Linked DNA regions of Lonchura striata. The protein of the gene in region 2 binds, or shares a complex with, the protein of the main gene of each other region. Links are inferred from orthologs where the notes say so. Each region holds a gene or a part of one and is shown on either strand. Other genes may lie near its edges.

Region 1 (7,606 bases), on a different chromosome or scaffold from region 2:
AAAGAGAAAGCTGATGGTGTTAATAGAACTCCAAAACTGGTTCTGTGAGCTTACTGCACAAAGTCTCAGTGCAATACCTGGGTTAAAGGCTGCATGAAGAAAGGGTACTACCAGGAGCCAAGTGTCAGAGCAGGAGAATCCACAAGCCATGACCTTACAGCTGATGCCAGCTTGGAAACTGTCTCACTGACTGGAAAAGTCACTGCTTCAGGGGCAACAGAAGCCTTGCAGAGCAAAACATCTTGAGAGGTTTGTAACACACTTAGATACCACTTCTCATCTTCACTTGCTGATGCCAGACTTGAGATAGCTGAAAATTACAGACTCTACAAACATGATGTATTTAGCCCACTCACAGTATGGTTTTAACCCACACACAGTCTGGGTTTCTCAACCAGGGAACTGTACCAGCTGCTAGTTCTTAACAAGATAGGTGGCAAGGCAGCACAAACAAGGACTCAACACAGGGAATTGGCCACTACTGAGATGTAGCTGTTAGCTTTTTACCTTGCATCCCTTGGACTGTAATCTAAACCAACCACACAGAGTATTAATTATGCCACTGATGTAGTGAGGGATACAAGGAACTCAAGGAAAGCTATGCAGCTAAAGACCAACATATGCTGTTCTGTCCTTAATGATAACGGAAGACACAAATTATAAGAACGTACAACTAGTCAGAACTGAGATTCACTGCATCCTGTGAGAGAAAAAAATATCTGACCCTTTTCTCTTACTGCAAAGTTTAATGGCCATGCTCCTGATGACACTGATATTTTAAAAATAATTTAAAAGCCAAAACTATGAAGAGCAGAGATCGCTAAAGTTGCCAGCTGTAATCCTATATATAAGGAAACCTGTATGTTAGATCTGCTAGGCAGTTACTATTGCTCACTTTGTACTTTAAAGCATCATAGAAATATAATGAAAAGCCATTAATAATATATAGAAAAGGTCAAAGATTTACCTGAAAAAAAAGCATGACATAACAAAGTAATTCATAGTGAACATTGCTTTAAATTATAATCAATCAAATCTGAAAATTCTCAGAGAAGAGACAACTTAGCCATTAGGAAAATAAGTATTTAGGAAAGTCCAATGTGTTGCATAATCCCACATAATACATCTCATAGAGATGTGGGAAACTGCTTTTTAAGCTTTCTGGTGACAACACAAACTTTATTAAAATAAGCCTGTTTATCTGGACAATATTAAGGCAAAGTCCAGATCTCACTTGTCTGTGTAATGTAAGGTATGCTTTCATCACCTTGGCAGAGAAAAGAAAAAACAAAATCAGTCACATGCCAGAATTAGCGAACACGATCATTTTCCAAGCAACCTGTAGTCTGAAGTTTACTTGTCCAGACTAGTAATTTGCAAAATACACGTTTCACAGAAGACAAGAATGATTCATATCTGATTCACAAGTAAAGAAATGCCAATGTTTGCCAAATTTTTGCCTTGACAATAGCAAAAGTGCCCTCAAACCACTACTGCAAAATTATCCTAAGGGTATTTCCCAGCAAAAGGCAGAACTAAAGTATGAGAAGACTGGAGCTACGATCTAGTCATAACCCGATCTAGTCAAGCAGTTGAGCAATTTTAAAACTTTTTGTCTCTAGAAACCTTAAGTCTCTAAAAGATTAAGCTATGGGAATGAAAGAATCAGAAAAGTTGAGGCTGATTACAACAAATTAATCCACAAAACAATTAAGAAAAATCAACAGAGAAGAGATGCAGCGCAGGAAGAATATTTAACACATGCACTAAACAAATGAGCAGAGAAAAGGCTGTCTGATCGTATATCAACACAAAAATCCACTTTGCGTGGAAATATGTAATTTGAGCATTTTAAACCTACAATTTACAGCGTATTCAAAAGCGCCGACGGAAAGATGAGCGAGCGATATTTGTTTGCCTTGCAATATCTGAAGCGCAGAAAAGCGTTTCAAAAGCAGCACAATTCAGCGGACTCAAGCAAGAAAAGAGCCCAAACCATGAGTAATTCCACAGAGCAGCTGAGGGGTAGGTGGATACGAGCAGCTTCCCCGCGCTGCTGCTAATGAGCATTAACCCCTCCGCAGCCCCGAGCCGCTCGCAGGCGCACAGCCGCGCATGCCGAGGGGTGCTGGGCTGCCCCAAGCCTCCGCGGGCCCCGGGCACCGAGGGGAACGGGTCCCACTCGGTACAGCGGGCCCGGCCGGGCAAAGGGCCGGAGCGCGGCGGGCACCGAGGGGCGGCCGGCGGCCGCAGCTCCGCCAGCAGGGCCACCTGCCTTCCCTCAGGCTCCCCGGCTCCGGTTTCTGGCGTGCTCCGCCCGCCCCGAGCCGCGGGCCCCCTTCCTCGAGGCTCCGAAGGCAGAGCCCCCTCCTCCCCGCGGGCCGCGGTCGCCCGGCCCCGGCACCCACCGCCGGCCCCCCGCGCACCCACCGCCGGCCCCGGCACCCACCGCCGGCCCCCCGCGCACCCACCGCCGGCCCCCCGCGCACCCACCGCCGGCCCGGCACCCACCGCCGGCCCGGCACCCACCGCCAACCCTGCGCACCCACCGCCGGCCCCGGCACCCACCGCCAACCCTGCGCACCCACCGCCGGCCCGGCACCCACCGCCAACCCTGCGCACCCACCGCCGGCCCCCCGCGCACCCACCGCCGGCCCGGCACCCACCGCCGGCCCCCCGCGCACCCACCGCCGGCCCCCCGCGCACCCACCGCCGGCCCCGGCACCCACCGCCAACCCTGCGCACCCACCGCCAACCCCGCGCACCCACCGCCGGCCCCCCGCGCACCCACCGCCGGCCCGGCACCCACCGCCAACCCTGCGCACCCACCGCCGGCCCCGGCACCCACCGCCAACCCTGCGCACCCACCGCCGGCCCGGCACCCACCGCCAACCCTGCGCACCCACCGCCGGCCCCCCGCGCACCCACCGCCGGCCCCGGCACCCACCGCCGGCCCCCCGCGCACCCACCGCCGGCCCCCCGCGCACCCACCGCCGGCCGCGCTGCTCCGCGGGCGCTGCGCCCGCGCTCCCGGCGCGATCGCCTCCGGCCGGCCCGGCCCGCCCGCGCCGCCGCCATTGGGCGCTCCCCGGCGGCCAAGGCGCCGCATTGGCCGGGCCCGCCCGCCCCGCCCCGAGCGGAGCCGCCCCCGGCCCCGCTGCTCCCCCCCGGGCCCGCTGCTCTCCCCCCCGGGCCCCGCTGCTCCCCCCCGGCCCCGCTGCTCCCCCCCGGGCTGGTCCCGCTGCTCCCCCCCCCCCGGCCCCGCTGCTCCCAGCATTGATCCCGTCCCATTTGCTTAGGGCCCGCTTCTAAGTGCGATTCAAAGGCAACGGACTTTGCCGCCTCTGTTCACCCACGGACAAAAATAAATATCAATGTACAGATAACAATCGATAATGCAAACAAAATATCCTTCCGTTCGGGGTTATTCAACAGGCGTGCTTAAATATAGCGCTATTTATTTGTAACTGGTGAGTTCGTGTACACACCTTTAACACCAATTAACAGGCACCTCACTTCTTTTTTTGGGTCCTCATGAATTTTGTGGATTATGGATTAAGCAGGTATAAATTAATAGAATGTCTATGAACCAAATTGTGCTTAGGCTGTTGAACTGTAAGAGTATTACAAACCTAATAAAATAAATTTCATGGTAATAGTAATCTTATTTCTGCCTTTAAATAGTTCAGAGAGCAATTTGCATATGAAAATGTCTTTATGGTGAAATTAACTTCTAATCCCAGTACATTTCCAACGCTCCAGCTGAAAGGAAGTTTATGCAAAATGAATATGTACATCGTTAGCTCAAACATGAGTACAGATATGTACATTTACAGCCATTACCAGACTCAAAGAATACCTCTGGAGAGCTGAGGGAGTAGCAAGTCACCAAAGAGCTTCCTAGAAAATTCAACCTTGCAAGCTCAGAAATGTTATTGACCATTTGCAATAAACATGGTAATAAAAGCCTTAATTAGTAATGGAGACTGACTGTAAAAAGGAAAACAAAAAGAAGGTTGCAGTTTTATTCTTCTCTGGGTGAACTAAGAGTTTTAAAACGTGCAAAACCACGGGGAAATCTCAAATGCAAAGTGCAAGATAACTATGTAATTACAACTGATGTTACACTCAGCAGCTTAGCATGTCTGGCTCGCCCGATTGTTTCCAAGGGGCTTTCAAAGGGGGTCCTGGTGCAGAGCAGTGTGCGGACAAACATTACAGAGAACACTCGAACCGAAGCCCAAGGCCCCCGTGGCACAAGCGGGGGACATCGCGTGTCCCGAAGCACCGACACGAGTGCCAGCTAGAGGTGGCTGCGGGAAAAGAGCACGCAACTCGCACATTCCCCAAACGGGACTTGCGGATTCTCTTACCCAGCAGTAGAAGATGTTGATTGCCCAGACAAAGCCAGTCACCTGGAAGATGTTTAGTTGAATAATCTGCCCATGGGCCCAAATGGGTTTAGTCTGGCTCTCAGACTCATTTACATGTGTACAGGGTAAATTCAACAAGGACGTAGATAGTTCTACTCAGGTACAACTGGTGTCTTTGTTTTATGAGCCAAAAGAACTACAGATTAGTTTTCTAATTGTTTCTCTTTATCTTCGCCATCTTTAATAAACCCAGGATCCAGAATTACATTATTGACCTCTGGTGTACTGTACTATGAAAGATCCTGGCTAGAAAGAGACTTGAAGGCCATCAATCCTTCCCTGGTTTTAGTCAAATTCTGAACCCCATTTCTTTTTTTACTTTTTCATCTTCTTTGTTTTCTGAAGAAAAGTAAAAGCTATTACATAGTAACTTTTCACAACAGTATTTGAACTTATAGTCACAAAGGCTTGTGACAGCTACAAATGCTGTCACAGTGCAACAGCTGCAGTTGGCTGCTGTATCTCTCATTGCTAAAGCACAAAGCATGAAATGTCATCAATCAGGTTACAATCACCAGAAATATATTTTCCATCTTTTCTTTCTTTTCACTCCAGAGCATATTTACTAACAGCCTTTAGATCAGCCTTTAAGGGCTGAGGAGAGGGATGTTTCCTCATTTAAGATATCATTAAAGGAAAAGAGCTTGCATAGAATATATTGCTTTTTAAGCACTTCTCCTCTTCTGTGCAGATTACCAGGCTTAAATTTGCTCTAGGATCAATTACATTTTCTGGTATTAGGTAAATTGAAGTTCCTGTATTAAGCATCCTTTTAAAAAGGAGGAGTAGGACAGAGGTGGGGTAAGAGCAAAAACATGTTACAACATTTGATTCTCTTACACTATTTATTCCAAATTACAACATCCTTACCACAACATCACACAACTCTGTTTACTATTGCCATTCTGTTTGGACTTGCAAGAAATTTTTGCTTTATATTTCTGAAGTTCTTTTACTAGTAAGATCTGGAATGGAAGGAGTAGCAGGTAACAAACCTGATAGAGGTTCTTATATTTTCTTGAGTTTTCTCAGAATCAAAGCCACAGAAAACACTTTTGGTCAGCCCTGCAGTGATCAGGCAGTTAAGCTTGATGGTCACTACAGATCCTTTTTTGATTTGATGGTCATTACAGGTCCACTGAAATATTCTATTACATCAGAACATCAAACCCAAAATTATTCTATTTAAATAAGTATATTCAATTTCTGGTTGAACATTTGTGTTCCTACAATTGAAAGAGAAGTTAGAATATACTTGAGCATTTATCACCACCAAAGTAAAGACATAGGGGAAATAAAAAAAGTTAAAAAAAAAAAAAAATCAAACCTACTCCAGAGAGTCTGATTTTCCTACTTGAAATAGTTTGGGTTTGAAGAATAAAGATTATATTCTTCCATTTTCTAGAATATGACAATATTAACCCTAAAAAATATAGCATTCTAGTATTAATATTCTGACTGATGTAGAAGATGTATTTACGATATGACTTTACTGGGTTAGACCATGTGAAATCATAACTATAAACACATGTACTGAGTAACTAAAAGCTAGAATGATCCCAATTCTAATTTATTTTGAATATACACATAACCTGACTTTTTGTTCTTTCAACTTGACAGCTAGAGTTTTTAATGTTAATATTTCATTATAAAGATATTAATAATTCATTATATCCTGGAAAATGCTGCTATTTTATTCCAATACAAAACCATGATTCTCATGCAAGCTTTACTGCAAATTTAATTAAATTTGTCAGTTAACAGAATTCAATATATTTCATCATATTAAATGAGGCAGTGTGACTTAATCCTTAGTTGTGTGCCAACAGAGGCTCCACTCAGAAGTGTACAGAAGAACTTTGAGATTTTCTTTACCTTTTTTCTTTACCTTCCACAGTTAAGTCTGTACTTCATATTTCTTTATACTGTATCACAAAGTAGTCTCACAGAAGTGCTACTTCTCAGCCAGTGAGCTGATATTGACACACAGAGCAGTAAAAGAAAAAAAAACGTGTGGTGCCAAAAGATTGTTTGCTTAGCTCCCTTACCTCAGACCGTGTGCACACACCTGTGTGGTCTTTGCTCCAGCTGCCACAGCCCAGTCTGGAAGATCACATCCTTCAGGAGAGATTTAACTGCACATCTCAGTAATGGCAAGATTAGATTTAAACAAATATTGCTGGGACAAACGCACTATTTCCAGCATGGCAGACCATCACCTTCACCTCCCCTTCACAAGCAATATTTTTCTCACAGAAGGGCATTTCTCAATGACCAGACACCCTTGTTTTGCCATCTAGCAGCAAACCAAATTACCAGCATCTGCAGAGCTTGTTCTGCTGCAATCTGAGCAACTGAAGAGTTTGTAGAATAGCAGTGCCTGGAGTGCAGTGGCTAGTGGAGAAATTTGGAAGCATCAAATTCTCAATATAAGCATAGAGAGAGCTAAAGGCTCATCAAACATACTAATTTTATGTGTTTTGAAAACTTTATTTTCTGTAGCTGCAAGGAAGTCTTTATGATTTGACATTTAGAAATCCCAAGGAGACAGTGGAAATTAATATTTTATGCCCTGTGTTTAAATAACGAAGAGTATTTTAAAATGACAGAATACCGTTTGTTCTAGCACCTTTCACAGTGCCAAATGAGATTAATGAGACACTAGATCTGAAATCTTAAAGGGGTTTATTTTTAGTTCACTTTTCTAATAATTTTAGTATTATTTACCATAAAGTTTTTCAGTATTCAGCCAAAGGATTATTTGCACACTGTTTACTCTAAACATGAGCTTCATGATGCTGAACTAGTATCACCAGAAACATTTAGAAGTATTTTGTATCAATCTACCTTTTGGAACTGAACTAAGAATGACAATGTACTGAAGAGTAAACTCTTTGGGGCTTGTAAACACAAACATAATAATTAGGCCAATTTTTTTCAATTACATGTGCAAAACACCAGAAGTATTTCTTGTGTCTCTATGGTGCTAGTCACTGAATATGAAAGACAGGGTAGGCAAACAGTTAATATACAATGTTCAGTTTGTTAGTTGAGAGATTACATAAATGAAGAAATCCTTCTTTCTTGCCCTATTTTGATAAGATCCTACTTACTTGAACCCTTTGCCTTCCAAAAAAAAAAAAAAAAAACCAAAAAAACTCAGACTCCTAGTA
Region 2 (7,483 bases):
TGAAGACTATTAAGAGACTCAGACAATACTAACTTAGCCATTTTAATATAAAGCAAGCTTTCACAGACAGTACTATACTTCATAACTATACCTTTAGACTCTTAAAGATATATTTGTTTTCTCCATATATTTACTCACCTTTTCACTGAACTACTTCTTTCCTTGAAATGGTTGATATTCTTCTCAAAAGCAAACTAGGTAAGTAACTGTAAACTTGTGCAGCCTCACTGCCAGCTTTTTAAGTTTACTTCCATGTGCTTAAGCAATTTATTAAGCTCATTTACCCACTTTGCTTTCTGTAAATGTCACAACTAGCTATCAGATTGAAGCATCCCAAGCCAGGAGAGTGAACCAAAAGGCCCACTTCAGCCTTATGTCAGGTAGGAATGTAAATTTCTCATCTCACTGCTAAATGAAATTAGAAAGTATCAAAAAATGTCATTCCTTAGCTATTGCAGCTCTAGGGAGTAAGACATGATCCTAATGATGTAGAATACCCTGTGTGAAGTGATTCCACTACTGTCAGAAAAAAATGCGAGCAAGAAGGATTGAGGTGAAGTGAGATGACACGAGCATGACACAGTGCCACGGTCTCCAAGTTTTAGGGCCACCACCTCCACAGCTCTTTACTATGAGGCACCTGTATGGGCACTATGTGACAAAAATGTCCCAAAACCACGGGGCCCACCTAAACCAAGGTAAAACGATCCCGCAAGCAGCATTTGCGGAGCCAGGTTTCTGCTAAAACAAGGAATCCGTCTATCCCTCCCAGGGCCACCTGCCCATGGTCTCGCTGCCCCGGAGCACCCCACGATGCCGGGTGTGCCCGCGGGGCTGGCACCGGGCACGGACACCTTAACCCGGCGCTATCGCCTTTCAGCCCCTCCGCCAACACTCCCCGGCTCCGCCCGCCCTCCGTTCCCGGGACGGGGCTCGCTGGGCTCCAGCCCGGAGCCCCGAGTCCTACAGAGACAAAAGACGGACGGCGGCCGCCGCCGGCGCAGCCCCGCCCGCCCGGGGCCGCTCCCGGCCGGGTCTCCTGCCCCGGGCAGAGGCACCTGCGGCCGGGCGGGACCCGTTCCTCGGCCGCGGCACCCCCGGGTCGCGGCGCCGGGCTGCCCACCCGCCTCCCCTCGCTGCCGTTCTCCCTCCCTCCCGCACACACGGACACACCCCCGCCCCGCCGCCACCTGACAGCGGCGGGGCAGCGCTGCGGGGCGGCGGCGTCCGCACAAAGCGCGGGCCCCGGGCAGCCCCGCGGCGCGGCCGTGCCTGGGCGGGAGCGGGCGGCGGCGGCACGGCCGGGCCGGGCGCGCAGCCCCTCACCTGTGCCAGGGAGAGGCGCGCGGCCATGCTGTTCCATGCCCCCGGCCCGGCCGCAGGAAGGACGCGCCGGGCCCCGCCACTCGCCGCACAACTTCGGCAACTTCCCCAGCCGGCCCCGGGCAAATCCCGGCACCGGATCCGCGCCCGCCCGCCGGACGGAGCCGGAGCCTCCCCCGCCGCCACACGGCAGCGCAGCCGCGCGCAAAACCGGGCGCGGATTACCGGAGCCGGAGCCCGCTCGAGGCAGCTGCAGCGAAAACCCGGAGCCGGAATCATGGGCCTGACACGGAGACCAACATCCCCCACTGCCAGCTCCCGGCCTCTCCCTCACCTTCCCTATTTGCCCTGCTTCTGCTGGAGATGCTTCCAGCATGGTGAATGGTTGCAGTTCTCCAGTCCAGTCATGCCACAGGTGGGGAAGTCCCAAAACAGGAGGTGAAGCAGGTCTGGTCTCAGTTGCAACAGAATTGGGCACAAGGCCCAGGAGGAAGCAGCGCGTGAGCCCAGCAGGATGTCCTGACCCGACGCATCCTCACAGCGGTGAGGAGCAGCCCTGGGCTCGGCCTCCTGCTTCCCTCCACTCACAGGAAATCAGATGCCTGTCCAGGCAACTCATGGTTGTACGCATCCTTCTGTCTCCCTGCTTGTACTCAGGGCAACAGTGGCTCTTCTGGGGCGGGTAACCAGAAGAAAGGGATGAGCAACCCTTATGGCAGGAGAAACTATGAGACATTGCAACAAGACACAAAGGAGCAGGCTGGAGTGGGGAGTAAACTGCACCACATTCTCCAAACCCATGGGAAACAATTGTGTACAGACAGGCTGAAAACAATACTTATGTCACCGCTCATTCTCCTGCTCCTGTACCTGCTCACCTCCTCCCACTGGCTTATTTCCACTCCTACTCTGAGCTCTGCACTACCTCAGCATACATAAGTCACTGAGGACCAAGAGAAAATGTTTCTATTTTTATGCTTTACCCCAAGGTGGTTTAGGCACACATTTAATCTTGAAATATGCATTTGGACTAGTAAGAAAAAATTAGCTGAAGTCATACTTGATTATTGGAAAGCTTTCCCTACATGCTTTGTTTTCTTTATCTGTTCATAATTCTATACCCCTCTGCATTGTTTTTGTCCTCCTCAGCTCAGTCGTGTGCTCATGCCCCACCTCTGCATCCTGTCATTCCTCAGCTGGCAGTCATCCTGAGCTGCTAGTGCTCATCATCTGTCATGAAATGTGGGATCCCTCCTTCCCACCTATTCCTTTATAAAGGTTTTATAGAAGCTCTGCCTTATCAACCTGTTTCTCAGCCATTTTTTCAGCAAGAAAAAGAAAATATGGAGGGGAAGAATATAAACAGCAAACAGAATAAATATAAAAATATTCACACCATTCACATACTCACTTGTCACTTCTCTACTCCACCTCACACTTCTCTCATAAGCAAAATCCCTAGAAAACAGCACAGACTTTATATTTCTAGGTTTTTTCTATATCTAGATTTATCTTTATATTTCTAGATTTATCTTTATGTTTCTAGATTTTTTTCTTCTTTGATTAAAATTCGAATTCTATCCCAGAATAATTAATACCTGGAAATGAAACCAGAAGATTGTAAAGCTGCAGCTGTGTCTCCTGGAGAGAGCAGGATTTTTGGGAGGGGGCCCCTTAGTGGGCATTTGGAGAGCCTGAATTTCTGAGCAGCCATGAGCTCATTTGGGTGCCCTTTGCTCTGTCAGTTGTTTCCTTCATCTTGGAGCCTTGCAGCTTGGCAGGGACGGGTGGCCTCTCAGGAGAGAGGTTACACCCAGGCTGATGTGTTCTGCAAAGAGAAGGAAAATGCAAAACAGGGACCTGGGATCTGGCTCTGGAGTTGGAGGCTTGATGCAGAGAGCTGCTGTGAGCAGGATTTTGTGGGCAGGCTATCTGGCTCAGTAGTGTTCTTGCTGCTGTTCTCTTTCTCTCCTGGGTGTTGCATCAAGTATTTCCTACCAGGTGCAGGAAGGGACCCAGAGCTGCAGCAAGGCTCTAGAATACAGGTGCTGAGTCAAGGGACTTGTGCCAGTCAGCCAGCAGAGCTGTGTCACCCCAGAGCACAATGAAAAGCCCCAGGTCCCCTCAGAGCAGAACACTTGTTCAGTAGGGAGGTCTGCTCCAGCCAAGACCACTCCTGAAGGCCTGATCTCCCTGAACTTTGTGTTGGAAAATAACCCCCCATTTTACTTCCTCAAACTGTGAAGGGCACAGCAGTCCACATCCAGAGCACCTTTCCATAGTGTTCTCCAGAGCTGCTGCGGCAGACTCCAAGTTGCACCTGCAGCTCAGGAACAAGCAAGCACTGCCAGGTATGTGGTTATGTACCTTCACCCTGGCTCTGCACGCTCACAGTCATCAGGCATGACCACTGTGTCCACAGTCAGAGGGCAAGAATCCCTCAAGGTAACCACTGTGGCCTCTACAAATTAAAACAATAATGAGTTTCATATAGTCAACACTGAATTAGTGTGGTCATGTAGATTTGTGCTGTTGTTGATCATTCTGTGCAGCTCACAGACAAATTGTCCTGGATGCCTCCAACCACCTGAGTTAAAACAACCAGTTCAGAACCTCAGACATCTCTATAACAATCACAACAGCACTTGTCAGCCTGCTGATGGTGAATGATTGTATTGCAGATTTTCACAAATCTAGAATGACAGCTCCCAGAAGAAAAACAACTCTCTGCTTCTCAGCTGGAATTGAGATGTCATCACCTGATATTAGATCACAAAACTGGACTTCATACTTACTTGCAGCCAAGAGAAAAGTCACAGCTACTAAAATTTACTCAAAGCTGTTGGCAGGTTTGCAAAACAATGCCCTCCAATGACCTTCTTGGCTTAGCCATGAGCAGCTCACCAGGGCTTGGCTAGTGTGGAAGAGCTCCTGAAATCTGGAATGGAGGGATTTTCTAAATGTACTTCTCCTCTTATTTCCTCCTCAGTGGAAACCCCATTCTTCTATCTCTTCCTTTGCTGACCCCATGAATCTTGACCTTTTGAAATATCTTCTGTGAATTTTGTAAGGAGTGGTGGGATTCTGTGCTGGGTTTTCAGGAAAGCTTGCTTGTTAAGAACATAAGAAAGACAAAAGATCAATGAACTGCAAGAACTTTAACAGTTTCATTTTGTATCTTTTTTGCATTTAACATGAATTCTCCTGCAGGAAATATTTATCTGTAATCTGCTCTGTAAGAACTGCTATATGATGTTTTGTTGCAAGATCCTCTACTACAGTGCACTTTATGCCCAAAGGACATGGAAAATAGTATTAGCATGCTTTTATTTGTAAGTGTAATAGGATTTTCTACAATTCTAAATACTGGCATTTTGACAAATAGGTACCAGATCTTAGTGTTCTTTATTGTTTCTTTGAAAGTACAATGCACAAAGTTATGTCTACACTGGACAAACAAGGGACTGCTAACAAATCAAAACTAGCCAAATGGCTGGTGAAGACTGGGACTTGCAGCAGTGCAGTGAGCACAGCAGCAGCACAACCATTTTGGTGCAAATCCCCACTGTGGAACACTGTACAAATGACTTGCTCTGATACAGCTGAATTTGAAAATGTGCAAGGTAGCACAGAAAGGCTCTCCACCACAGGCAAACACTAACGACCACTGTTCTATAGATGTCTAAATATGATTGTTAGTAAAGCTGGTAACATTTTAATCATCTACTGGTCCCCCCAGAAATAACATCTTAAGTGTCCATCTCTTCCTTTCCTAGAGCTTTGTTTACCCTATGGATCAGCACACGGGAAGCGCAAAACAGCACGCAGGCATTTAGTGTGACTTGTTCTGCTCGTTCTAGGAAAGGTGTTACTACAGCCCATGAGCACTCCGGAGGCTGAGAGAGGAATGACTCAGTCCTGCCTCCTGCATTCCTGAGCACAAAATGAGGTACCCAGCTCTCTGGAATTCCAGTGCAAAGCAGAGCAGTAGCTGCAGCATTGCGTATACAGAACCAAGGATTTAAAAGTAAGAAGGATTAAGCCACTTTGAGTTTTACAGAGCAAAAGGAAACATATGCATCAACACACAAAATCCTGGCCAGAAAAAGGAATCACTGTTCTATGATCAAAGACTGTAATGCAAGGGAATCTGCCCACAGGCAAACAGACATTGCACAGGTTTCAGAGAGCCAAGCAACAGCCATAGTCCTGGTACAGAACAGCACTTCCCACACTTAGGCTACTGAAAGATCCCTCCTGAGAAAGGAGGAAGATCATCACGCAGACTTTGACAACCTTTGGACTGAGGAGACCTTTTATCAGAAATCTCAGGGTACTTTCCAGGACTAGTGACACAAGCTGGTTTAGGAAGTCACGACTGCAGGCATGCCTTTATCTAGAAATCCACCCCAGGATATGCTTTGTGTGCTCTTTACATTTTATGCAGCTGCAAGTTTTCTAGACAAAGGGTTACAGATAGGCTGCTATGTTTTAAGGCCACAAGAGAACATTACAATCATCTAGCCAGACTCCAACTGACCTTCTGTAGAGACCTGTTAATTTCTGTGTTTCTTCTACATAAAACACGTAATCTGTGAGTCCTATAGTGTATCCTCTAGGAGGATGTCTATTTTCTGGAGTATGTACATTGATCGTTATGAAAACTGCATAGGAATCACCTGCTAATTCATCTTGTGCTGTGCTCTTGGCTTCTTAATGTGGTTTGCACACTTTCAAAGTTATAGCAGCTTTGAAAATACTTCAAAGTGGGTTGAGAGATGATCAAATTTATACAAAACTGTAGCAGTATTAAATAAACACAAACTAGGATATTAAGATAACTGCATATTTGTTCATCTCTAAAGTGTTTTCTGTTCAGTTGTTCAGAAGTATTTGAATATATCTGAATTTAACTCCTTCATCTGGCAGAAACAAAGTATGGAATTATTGTACCTCTTTGTTTTGCAAAATGATGTAATCTATATTGCCAGTATTCAGAAAAACAAAGGCTAAAATTATCTTTTAACCGTAGTAATTAGAAAGAATAATATTGAATTTTTATTAAGAGAATGGTAAAATTGAAAATAACCTGAATAGGGTTTGAGTGAATCTCTTTAATCATATCTGATGGAAGTGCTGGCAAATCTGAAATGTAGCAGTACAGATCTGCTATTTTAAAACATATACCATTTATCTTTTCATTAAGACTGTAAGCATCTTTTCTCAAACTAATTTATATTAGCCAGTTTCATGGGGCTACACTTCATGTTGTAAAATAATAAGAGAAAACGTAAATATATACAAGAGGTCAGCTTGAATTCTAGATAATTAGCTGAATGACTGACAGCACAATGACATTTTTCATTCAAGACCATATTTGAAACCCAGAAAAATCTTCAATAGGCATTAATCTGACATGTCCAGCTAATGTAGCAGTTGGAGATTTCACTGTTCCTTGAACAGCTTAATACATGTTCTGAAATAGAACAAGCAATAGCACTGCTGAAACAGCATCAGTCTTCATTATAAATTAAACATGTCAATATCGTAGTGTGTAGTGTATATTAAACCAAAATGAGGATTGAAAACTAATATATTTACAAAGTAGCAGTCAGAAAAGCTTTTACCAACAGTTTCTTCTGTTCCCTGATTCCTTAGGCATGTTGTCTATACTATAAATCCAGGGAACACACTGCTCACCTTTCTGAAACACTTAAAAGATTATTATGTTATAAGAAAACAGAAAATATAAAAAATATAATCTACACACTGAATTCCCAACCTTCCCCTAACCTAGAATTAGTTTACTCTGCCCTTCACAAAGATGATTAATTAATTTCAGAATTATAAGATACATGAATTAATTAGATAAAAGAGCACTTGGTATTTTTCTTCTTATTAAATGGTTTGTCTTTAAGACAAACACATGACTGTTAATGGTAAAAGACCATTTTTATGGAATTACTGTAAATCTTGATACTAGCAAGCTTTTCTTCTTGAGATTTCCTTACTTGTCTTCCCAATTATTTTCATCTTCTTATCTATTCTTACATTCTCCACTTTCCTTCATTTTCATCTGGTCTTAATTACAACCATAACAATGTCAAAATGTTTCAGAAAGTATTAAACAAAATAACACCAATGCAATAAACATTGGTCA
Region 3 (7,947 bases), on a different chromosome or scaffold from region 2:
TCAGTAACATATCCAACCTGTAAGAAAATCCTACATTATTTAGTGCTGCAGACATTGTAGATACAAATGTTACAAAAATAAATCTTGATGTAAGGAGATCAAGCATTTCCAAAGGTAAAGAGTCAAAATTTACATAAGTACCCCCCAGAAGTTTAGGTTACTTGAATTATTTGAAATCACATGCTGTGCATCCATCCCAGCACAGGCAGCACACAACAAGTGCACTTTCATTTTTCAGCAAGATCTATAATGTAGAATCCTTATCTGTGCAGAATCTTTCAGAATAACCCCCCCACAGACACCATGTTTCACTGTTACTCATAATTCAGAAAGGCTATTGGCAAACTAAAAGTGCCAAGCCTTTGTGGCAGTACTAAAAATAGATACAAGAGTCCAGCAAAGCCAAAATTTGGATTGAAACTAAAAATGCCAGCAGAACTTTCCATGTTACTGCAACTATCAGATATTTAGTCCAATTTTAAGGCTAGAAATAGAGGTTAAGAGCTGCCCGTGGTGTCTAGCTTCCCTCCCTTCTCAGAAAGGAACACTTGCTTTCTTTGCTTACTCAAAAGATGCTGTTCACCTTAACAACTGCTACTTTTTGTTCTTGACATCTAGCTCCTCACTGAAGAGGCAAAGAGGGAGTTTAGCCAAAAGCAGTACCTACAAAGCCCAAAGTCTCCAGAGAGTACTTCTGTGAATACTCCAGGAAGCACTTTTGTGAATTTTAGTCTGTGTACACTAGCCCAGGGTTAGCTGGCAGCACTCAGAGAGCTCCACTAAGGGAAAGGCTCAAATGCCATTCACAACTATTTGGAAGCTTCATACATCACCTACTAGCAGGAATACCAGCTCTTCTGCAGCTGTTTAAAAGATGCTGCTACTTTTTTCATTATGAAGGCAAAAAAGATACACAAGTAACTACAGCTCCTAAACATCTGTCTGGACATAGACAAAACATTTGAGACATACCACTACTTGTATGAAGAGTCGAAGTGTTAACATTTTATTTGTATCACCAGTAAGTTACATCTTTGTTTCTCCTGCAGATAACTAGAGCGTGAGAGGTTTGTTGTCCCATCTCGACCAAGGTAGCTTCAGCTCTGTTCTCTCATTGCCTTGTGGGGAAATAACTACCTGTTTTGTTATATCCTACAACCTTAAATTTTGTTATTTCATATTCCTGAACACTGAACACTTTGGGTACAAACCTAAGAGCCCAAATGTTTCCCTTGTATTTACTTCTAGAGATTTCCTCTGAAAACAAGTGTGAACAAAGTTAACCAACTGCAAGACACGAAAACACTGATGAATCAAGTCATACTGTTTCTAGCTAAATCAATGAAAACAATGACTAAAAAAAATCATTGTGAATTGCACTGGGTAGATACAACAGCTTAACAAGTCTTAACTGCTGTGATACCAAGTGGAACTATGCTACACTCGTAGCTTGCACAGAACACCAGGACATTGTAAAACGCTCACTAAATAGCCAGGCCAAACAGACAAAGCACAAGAGCATTTGTGTAACCTGGAACTGCTACACTGCACCTTTTATAAGCCATCTTCTACACACACTAGGGTGAAGTCTACAGAAACCTAAGGATCTGCGACTGCTTTGAAAAAGAAAACAGCTCATTCAAACAGCTTCTGCTCTAAGGAAGACTATCGACCTTGAATTTGTTCACATGTCTTGATGTCCTAATCACCCAATTATAAAGACACTGCACTTAAATGGTCTCATTTTACCAGTATAATTTTTTTGCCAGGTTTTTTTCTATTAGAAGTCACCAATATGAAGTTTTTCAACCCAGTGTGATTAAATAATGCCAACACAAGCCCAGTCACAACAACACAATTTGCATTAAAAAAATTCTCCAAATCTGTTTATATCTTTAGAGAGAAATGCTTACTGCCATTCCTCCACTGCTTTTAAAATAGCCTCAAGTGATCTACAAAGACTCACAGGTGGACAAAATAGAGCTGTTTCATCACACCAACCACAGCGACCTTAGCCCTTCCCCAGGCAATTCCTGCCACATCATACCCTTAGATCTCTAACTCCGATTAATATTAAACTATTGTATGCAATTTCGGACGAAAAGGAAGACTGAGCACTGAGGTGTGCCCCCACACATACCCCTTCCCCCCACACCAAGCAGCAACAGCAGATTTGTACTCCTCCTCTCCCGCTGCACACTCACGGACACGCTCCCCGCACTTCTCTCGGGGGGGGGGGGGGGGGCACTTACTCGCACCTCCCTCCATCCCATTTTTAATTACACCGATCCCAAGCGCTGCTTCCCACCTTAAAGCCAGCTTAAGCCGAGGCTAGGCATACGCGCAGAGGGCCCTGCTCTCAGGCGCCTACAGAGGCCTGTTTTCCATCAGTGACGTGCCGAGCCGAGAGCCGCTCGGGGATCTGGAAGGAGCCCAGGGAGCCTCTCCCTGCCCCGCCGCACACCCACCCGCGCCCCGGCACCGCTCGGCGCATCGCGAACAACGGGCACCGACCCCGGCACCCCCGCGGCGCTCAGGCACGGCGGAGGGGGGTGACGGGGGTGGCGAGGGGGCAGGGAAACACCCCAACCCACCCACCCAAAACGCTCACACCCACGGGCAAATGCTTTATGCGGCCCCCCCTCCCCGCCGCGCCGCCCCCCCGAGCGCGTCGCCATTTCGTGAGACAGGAGCGCTCCGAGCTGCCCGCCGCGGGGATCAGAGGGAAGAGGGAAAGCACTGGGAAGGGGATCGAGGGGTGAAGCCCCGGCCCCACGGGGCACCAGCCCATGGCGACGGCCGGCGCGGCCCAGCCCAGGCCCCGGCCGCGGCGCCACTCACAGTTGCGGATATCGGAGATGAAGACCGCCAGGCCTCGCATGCCATCGCCCTTCGACACGGCAGGCATCGTGGCGCACGATCACGGCCGCCCTGGGACGCGACACGCCGAACCCCCGCAGCCGCCGCCCGCTCTCCCCGCGGGCTGCTTCAGGCCGCTCCGCCGCCTCCGCAGCGCGCAGGCGCCGCCGGGGCTCCCGCGCCCCCGCAGCCGCCGGGCGGGCGCTGCTCGTGCGCCACCTGCCGTGCGGAGGCGGGAGCGCCGCGGGTGCGCCGGAGGCTCTGCGCCTCCCGGTGCCGCAGCCACGGCGGGCGCGGACCCCGCCCGTCCCCCGGGATGTGCCCCGAGACCTGCCCCGCTCCCGGGCGTTCCCCGTGCGACCCTGCGGCCCTGAAGGGCTGGCTAGCTGGAGGCCGGGCCCTGGGGATGGGCCGTGCCGCTGCTGGCACGCGATTTGCAGTCACCGCCCGTGAGGGAAAGCGGGCCCGGGCCGAGGTGAGGGGCGGCAGGGCAGCGTTAGCCGCTGTGTCCGTGGGTGAATTCACTGCACGCTCCCTGCTCGGGAACAGCCTCACCTCTTCCTCTCCTCGTGACCCTAATGGCCGAGAAGTTTGATGATTTTTGAAGGTGAAATACGGGGCTTCTCAGGCACCTCAAAGGATGTAACTGCTGAGGGAGAAGGAGAAGGACCGTTGATCAAGATACCGGAAAATTTCACTTCATCACCTAAGCTTTGAGCAGACTATTGATCTGGGATCTTATTTTTAAAATATGGAGAGCCAGGTAAAGACTCTCTGTGGCATAGTCCGTAAGAATATGCTTTCCACAGGGTGGACTGCAGGAGGCTGTGCCTTGGTCTTCCTCCTCAAAAGGGACCCCAAAGCAGTGCACGGGATCTCCTGCACGTACCCTGCACAGTCCCTGTGAGCACTGACAAGCCCGGAGGCGACTGTGCGCAGCTCCATCCTTAGGCACATCCCCTTGGGAGCCCGCCGTCGCTCGTGTGAGTGGCACAGTTGCTCCACGTTCATGTAGATTCCCACTCCCTGACTCCCTGAAACCCAGGGCCACATGTTCCTCCCGATGGCTGTAAACATGCAGAGTGACACACACACCACATCTACTCCCGAGCCTGAAAACATCTCAAGGTTAAACTGTCTTAAACGTGACGAAGAGGTTGGACTATGCAGAGCATTTAATATCTTCAGCTGAAAATAGGTTCAAATAGTCTCAAAACTGGCCTAGACTGCCTAACCAAAAGTGTGCTGGGGGCTTCACTCATGATGCAAGGAAAAATATGCTTAGTGGAGAATAATGACTCATAGAATCATGGGGCTTAGGGCTATAGGAGATCAGTCAGTCATTTCTCCTCTATTTCAGCATACTTCAAACCATTTAATTTCATCTGGGGTTTTTTGTTTGTTTGTTTAACACACACACACACACACACACACCATGAGCTTAGCCCAACATCTAGCTTTTAGCTATGGTCTATCTTCCAGAAAGGCACTGAGTCTCGCTCTGATACAATCATAATTCACTGTTGCCCTGGATAGCTTCCTCCCATGGTTAGTTCTCCTTGTTTAGAACTTGCATCTTGTTTAGATTCAGCAAGTTCCAGTACCTTTAACTTCATGATACATTTTTCTCTCATAAAGATCTGTATGTCTGACAGTGGCTGTATATCTTAGTTAGGTCACCTCTGAAGGCTCTATTCCAGGTGTTTTCAGGATACAGTGTTACATGAGTGCTTTTTAGTTGTGCAAGTGTCTATGAGCAAGGCAAGATGACAGCATGCAACTCATGCAATTATCACTTTGTTCCTGGATCCATTTTGTAGACCAAGTGCAAATACAGGCAGTCATGCACAATTAGTCTACTGTTCAACTCAGATTTGTAGGCTTTCATGAAGAACATACTCCTTTTCCACAGCTTTACAAATATATTTTTATGCTTAATAATAATTTCCATGCACCTTTGAATGTGAAAACTTCCTATGTCACCAAATCAGGCTTTTCCTGTGATCAGAAAAAAAAAAAAAAAAAAAAAAAAAAACAAAAAAAAAAACAAACTCTTTTTTGAGTTAATTTCTACTCCTAAGAGCACAGTGACACCTAAAGGCTCAGTCTACCAGTCCTGTCTGGTTGTATTCCTGTCAATACTGCAAGTCATGCAGGTATCCAACTGCCTTTTCAGCAGTGCTTTAAGTACTGCCAGCAGGATAGCTGTGGCAGTACCAAGCTAAGCATGAGCTGCAAATTCTTCTTGAGAACTGGGAAAATATCCAAGTGGTTAGCACATGTGGATGACTCTAGTTTTGCCTCATACAGCTAAATGTTTCATTTGAAGGGGCTCAGTATGCAGTACACATACCCTGATTATTTTATGTCAACCTCCTTTGACTGGATTTCAAAGCTTCACTATATTCACCCTGCTGTCTTTTTGCCTCATCAAAGGCTTGCGCAATCAGGCATGTCTGTCCTTACTGCCTCAGAACTTAGAACTTAGTAGAAAATTTCAGATGTCTTGGTAAGGACAAGGTAGAAATTTTATGTGAATAGTAGGGTATCTAAAGGAAAGAGAGTCTGTAATGGTCTCTAGATGCATCCTGGCTGAAAGAAACATTGTAATGTGAACTCAGCTGTTACTCAGCACAGAGCTTGCAACCAGGCACAACCCTTTGCAAACACACTGAGTTGGTAATTCTGTAAAATATTTTGGTTTGAGCCTAACATCTATAAAACACCAGGCTGCCTAAAAACAAACATAAGTGGTTCTATCCATCCCAAGATGTTATGATAATTTAATATTTATAATTGTAAAATCAACATTAAAGGGGAGATAGTACCAAGAAATATTTTCCTATTACATAAAACAATTGGCATCACATTTGTTTGCCAACAGATCCAGTGTTTGTCCCCTAGTTCCCATTTTATATGGGAGTAATTAAATTTTTTTTCCAGAATTTTATTGCACCGGTACAAAGGCTTTAATAATTACAGTGACCTTCATAAAACTATTACTATTCATCTGAGTGTTTTCAGCTGGTGAGGATCCAGTTGTGGGAACTACAAAAAGGGAATTGTTCCTTTCCTTTTGTTACTTCTCTCACATTTGTCTCACCAGTTATTGTTTTCTCCTGCTCCTCATGATCATTCCAGTCATTACTGGAACCAAAAAGAACTCAGGACTAAACAGAATCCATGGCTCCACCATGCATACACAACCATATTTCTGTACTTGACATTGAACATTCATTATCCCTTAAAGGAGAGCACAATGCCTTCTGCCAGAGTATCAGGTGGGCTGCTTTCAACACTGGAAAACACAAAGTTCGGCTAATATCATTATCATGAAATCTAAATTTACAGAAATTTGGGGTGCATCTGGGCATAGAAGACTATGCATCTGCTTCACAGATAAGACTTCTGTTCAGAGCAAAAATATTTCCATTTTTTCCTTTCCAGTGCTGAAGAATGCTCATTAAGATCTTCATTACACAAGATGGAATGAAAGAAGAGGGCAGTTCAGCAGAATAAGGCAACCTTCCATTCAAGCTTCTAGTAGATTGCACTAAACTGTAACCAAGAGAGAAAGCAGGTCACAGGATAGCTTCTATTGGGAATTTCACTGCTAGGATATGCTGGCCTTGCATCTACATCATGATATAACACATCCATTTTTTTATCAAGTCTTTTGATAGGGTATTTAGTCCCTGCAAGCAGCCTGTGAAATAACAGGGTTATACCAAAATTTCTGCTGCAGTAAAAATAGCAGCATCACAAGCCATGCTGCACACAAAAACACAAACTGTAGAAGGTCAAAGCAGAAGAAAATAAAAAACTCAATTAAATCCACTATCTTTTATTTTAGAGCCTGTTAAAAGCCATCTGAGATTTGACCCCTCCTTTCTGCAGACCCAGAGTCATCAGTACTGCCTGCAGACTCTTTGCAGCCTTACCTACACGATCATTTTGCCTCCTGGTCAGTGTGTGCATTTTAGCCCAAGTTCCTGATTTACCTACATTTTTTTCTCAGAATCACAGAAACAATTTGTTTTGGAAAGATCTTGGAGATAATCGAGTCTAACCTGTGATTAAACATCACTACTTCAACTAGACCATGGCTCTAAGTTTTTCTTAAGACACATCCCGGGATGGTGACTCTGCACCTACCTGGACAGCCCCTCCCAATGTCTCCTCACCTTCTGTGAAGGAATTCCTCCCGGTTGGACCTCCAGGTCCAACCTGACCCCCCGCCCTGCCATAGCTTAAGGCCATTTATTTTTGAGTTGCTGGTAACCTGAGAAGAGGCTGATCCCAACCTAGCTATAGCCTATTTTTGGGCAATTGCAGTGAGCGATAAGGTCACCCCTGAACTTCCTCCTCCCCAGGCTAAATCTGTACCAATGTGCTATAGCTTGGGCTAAACCAAGAGGGTCTCTATGGGAATTTAGAATCACACCATTATTAGCATTTCCTTTCTTCAGCTACCGATGAGCCGCAAGGCACGGGCCCGGGCCGGGCCAGGCCAGCGCCGGGCCGGCCCGGAGCGCCGGGGAGCCGCGGCCGCCGCGCCCCTCCCGCCCCGCCATGTTGGCGCTGCCGCCGCCCCGGCGCCGCCCGGAGCCGGCGGGGCGGGGCGGGGCGGGGCGGGGCGCTGCCGCTCGCCCGCACTTCCGCGGCGGCGGCGGGCGGTACGTGGTGTCCGCGGGGCTGGGCCCGGCAGGGCAGGCACGGAGCAGAGGGGGAAAGGGCGGGGGTGAGGCTGCGCTCGGGCGGGGGAGAGGCGGCCGCCCGGGGCTGCGCCAGCGGAGCCGAGCTCGGCGCGGCCGCAGCGGCGCCGGGCTGGGCGCTGATGCCGTGCGGGCTCCCTGCTAGCTCCAGAGCTGGGCGAGTGTGGGAGGGAATTCTGAACGCCAAAGTGGTGCACTTTGCAAGAGGGGAGGGTTTAATGTTTACACAGGTTAGAAACGGATTTATTCTCACTCTTCACTCCCCGCTGTTGCTTTCATTTAAAAATGCATCAGCAGTATGCTTCCCGGCCTTCCTTTACTAAGTGATGCAGGTTCTTTCTGCAAATGTAGTTAGAATCTAGTTTCTTCTTTA

Evidence for each region.
Region 1: the proteins of EPS15 (region 2) and STON2 are in contact, whole or in part, in an NMR structure (PDB 2JXC), measured with the Homo sapiens proteins. The link is inferred for Lonchura striata from reciprocal best matches to the Homo sapiens genes EPS15 and STON2. Residues at the interface, in NP_001972.1 of Homo sapiens: Leu139, Gly148, Lys152, Pro153, Val154, Leu155, Leu156, Asn157, Ser158, Lys159, Val162, Asp163, Leu165, Gly166, Arg167, Trp169, Glu170, His176, Gly178, Met189, Val192, Tyr193, Leu196, Glu197, Lys198; in NP_001353779.1 of Homo sapiens: Trp309, Arg310, Ala311, Thr312, Asn313, Pro314, Phe315, Glu318, Gln321, Asp322, Gln324, Pro325, Ser326, Ile328, Asn329, Pro330, Phe331, Phe334, Phe335, Glu337, Gln338, Glu339, Arg340.
Region 3: the proteins of EPS15 (region 2) and AP2A2 are in contact, whole or in part, in a crystal structure (PDB 1KYU), measured with the Mus musculus proteins. The link is inferred for Lonchura striata from reciprocal best matches to the Homo sapiens genes EPS15 and AP2A2. Residues at the interface, in NP_031969.1 of Mus musculus: Asp629, Pro630, Phe631, Lys632; in XP_006536218.1 of Mus musculus: Phe442, Phe443, Trp446, Lys447, Asp487, Pro488, Val494, Arg511.

What each region holds. Positions count from the first base shown.
Region 1 is NC_134608.1:20,302,040-20,309,645, reverse strand, and holds the start of STON2 (stonin-2), read right to left. Parts: upstream 3,065-7,606; 5' UTR 2,992-3,064; exon of another isoform or gene 2,966-2,991; intron 2,558-2,965; exon of another isoform or gene 2,530-2,557; intron 2,432-2,529; exon of another isoform or gene 2,409-2,431; intron 2,162-2,408; exon of another isoform or gene 1,862-2,161; intron 1-1,861. UniProt on the Homo sapiens protein: Adapter protein involved in endocytic machinery. Involved in the synaptic vesicle recycling. May facilitate clathrin-coated vesicle uncoating.
Region 2 is NC_134611.1:10,084,313-10,091,795, reverse strand, and holds the start of EPS15 (epidermal growth factor receptor substrate 15), read right to left. Parts: upstream 3,024-7,483; 5' UTR 3,009-3,023; coding exon 2,922-3,008; intron 1,518-2,921; exon of another isoform or gene 1,354-1,517; coding exon of another isoform or gene 1,327-1,353; intron 1-1,326. UniProt on the Homo sapiens protein: Involved in cell growth regulation. May be involved in the regulation of mitogenic signals and control of cell proliferation. Involved in the internalization of ligand-inducible receptors of the receptor tyrosine kinase (RTK) type, in particular EGFR.
Region 3 is NC_134608.1:45,479,701-45,487,647, reverse strand, and holds the start of AP2A2 (AP-2 complex subunit alpha-2), read right to left. Parts: upstream 3,029-7,947; 5' UTR 2,909-3,028; coding exon 2,842-2,908; intron 1-2,841. UniProt on the Homo sapiens protein: Component of the adaptor protein complex 2 (AP-2). Adaptor protein complexes function in protein transport via transport vesicles in different membrane traffic pathways.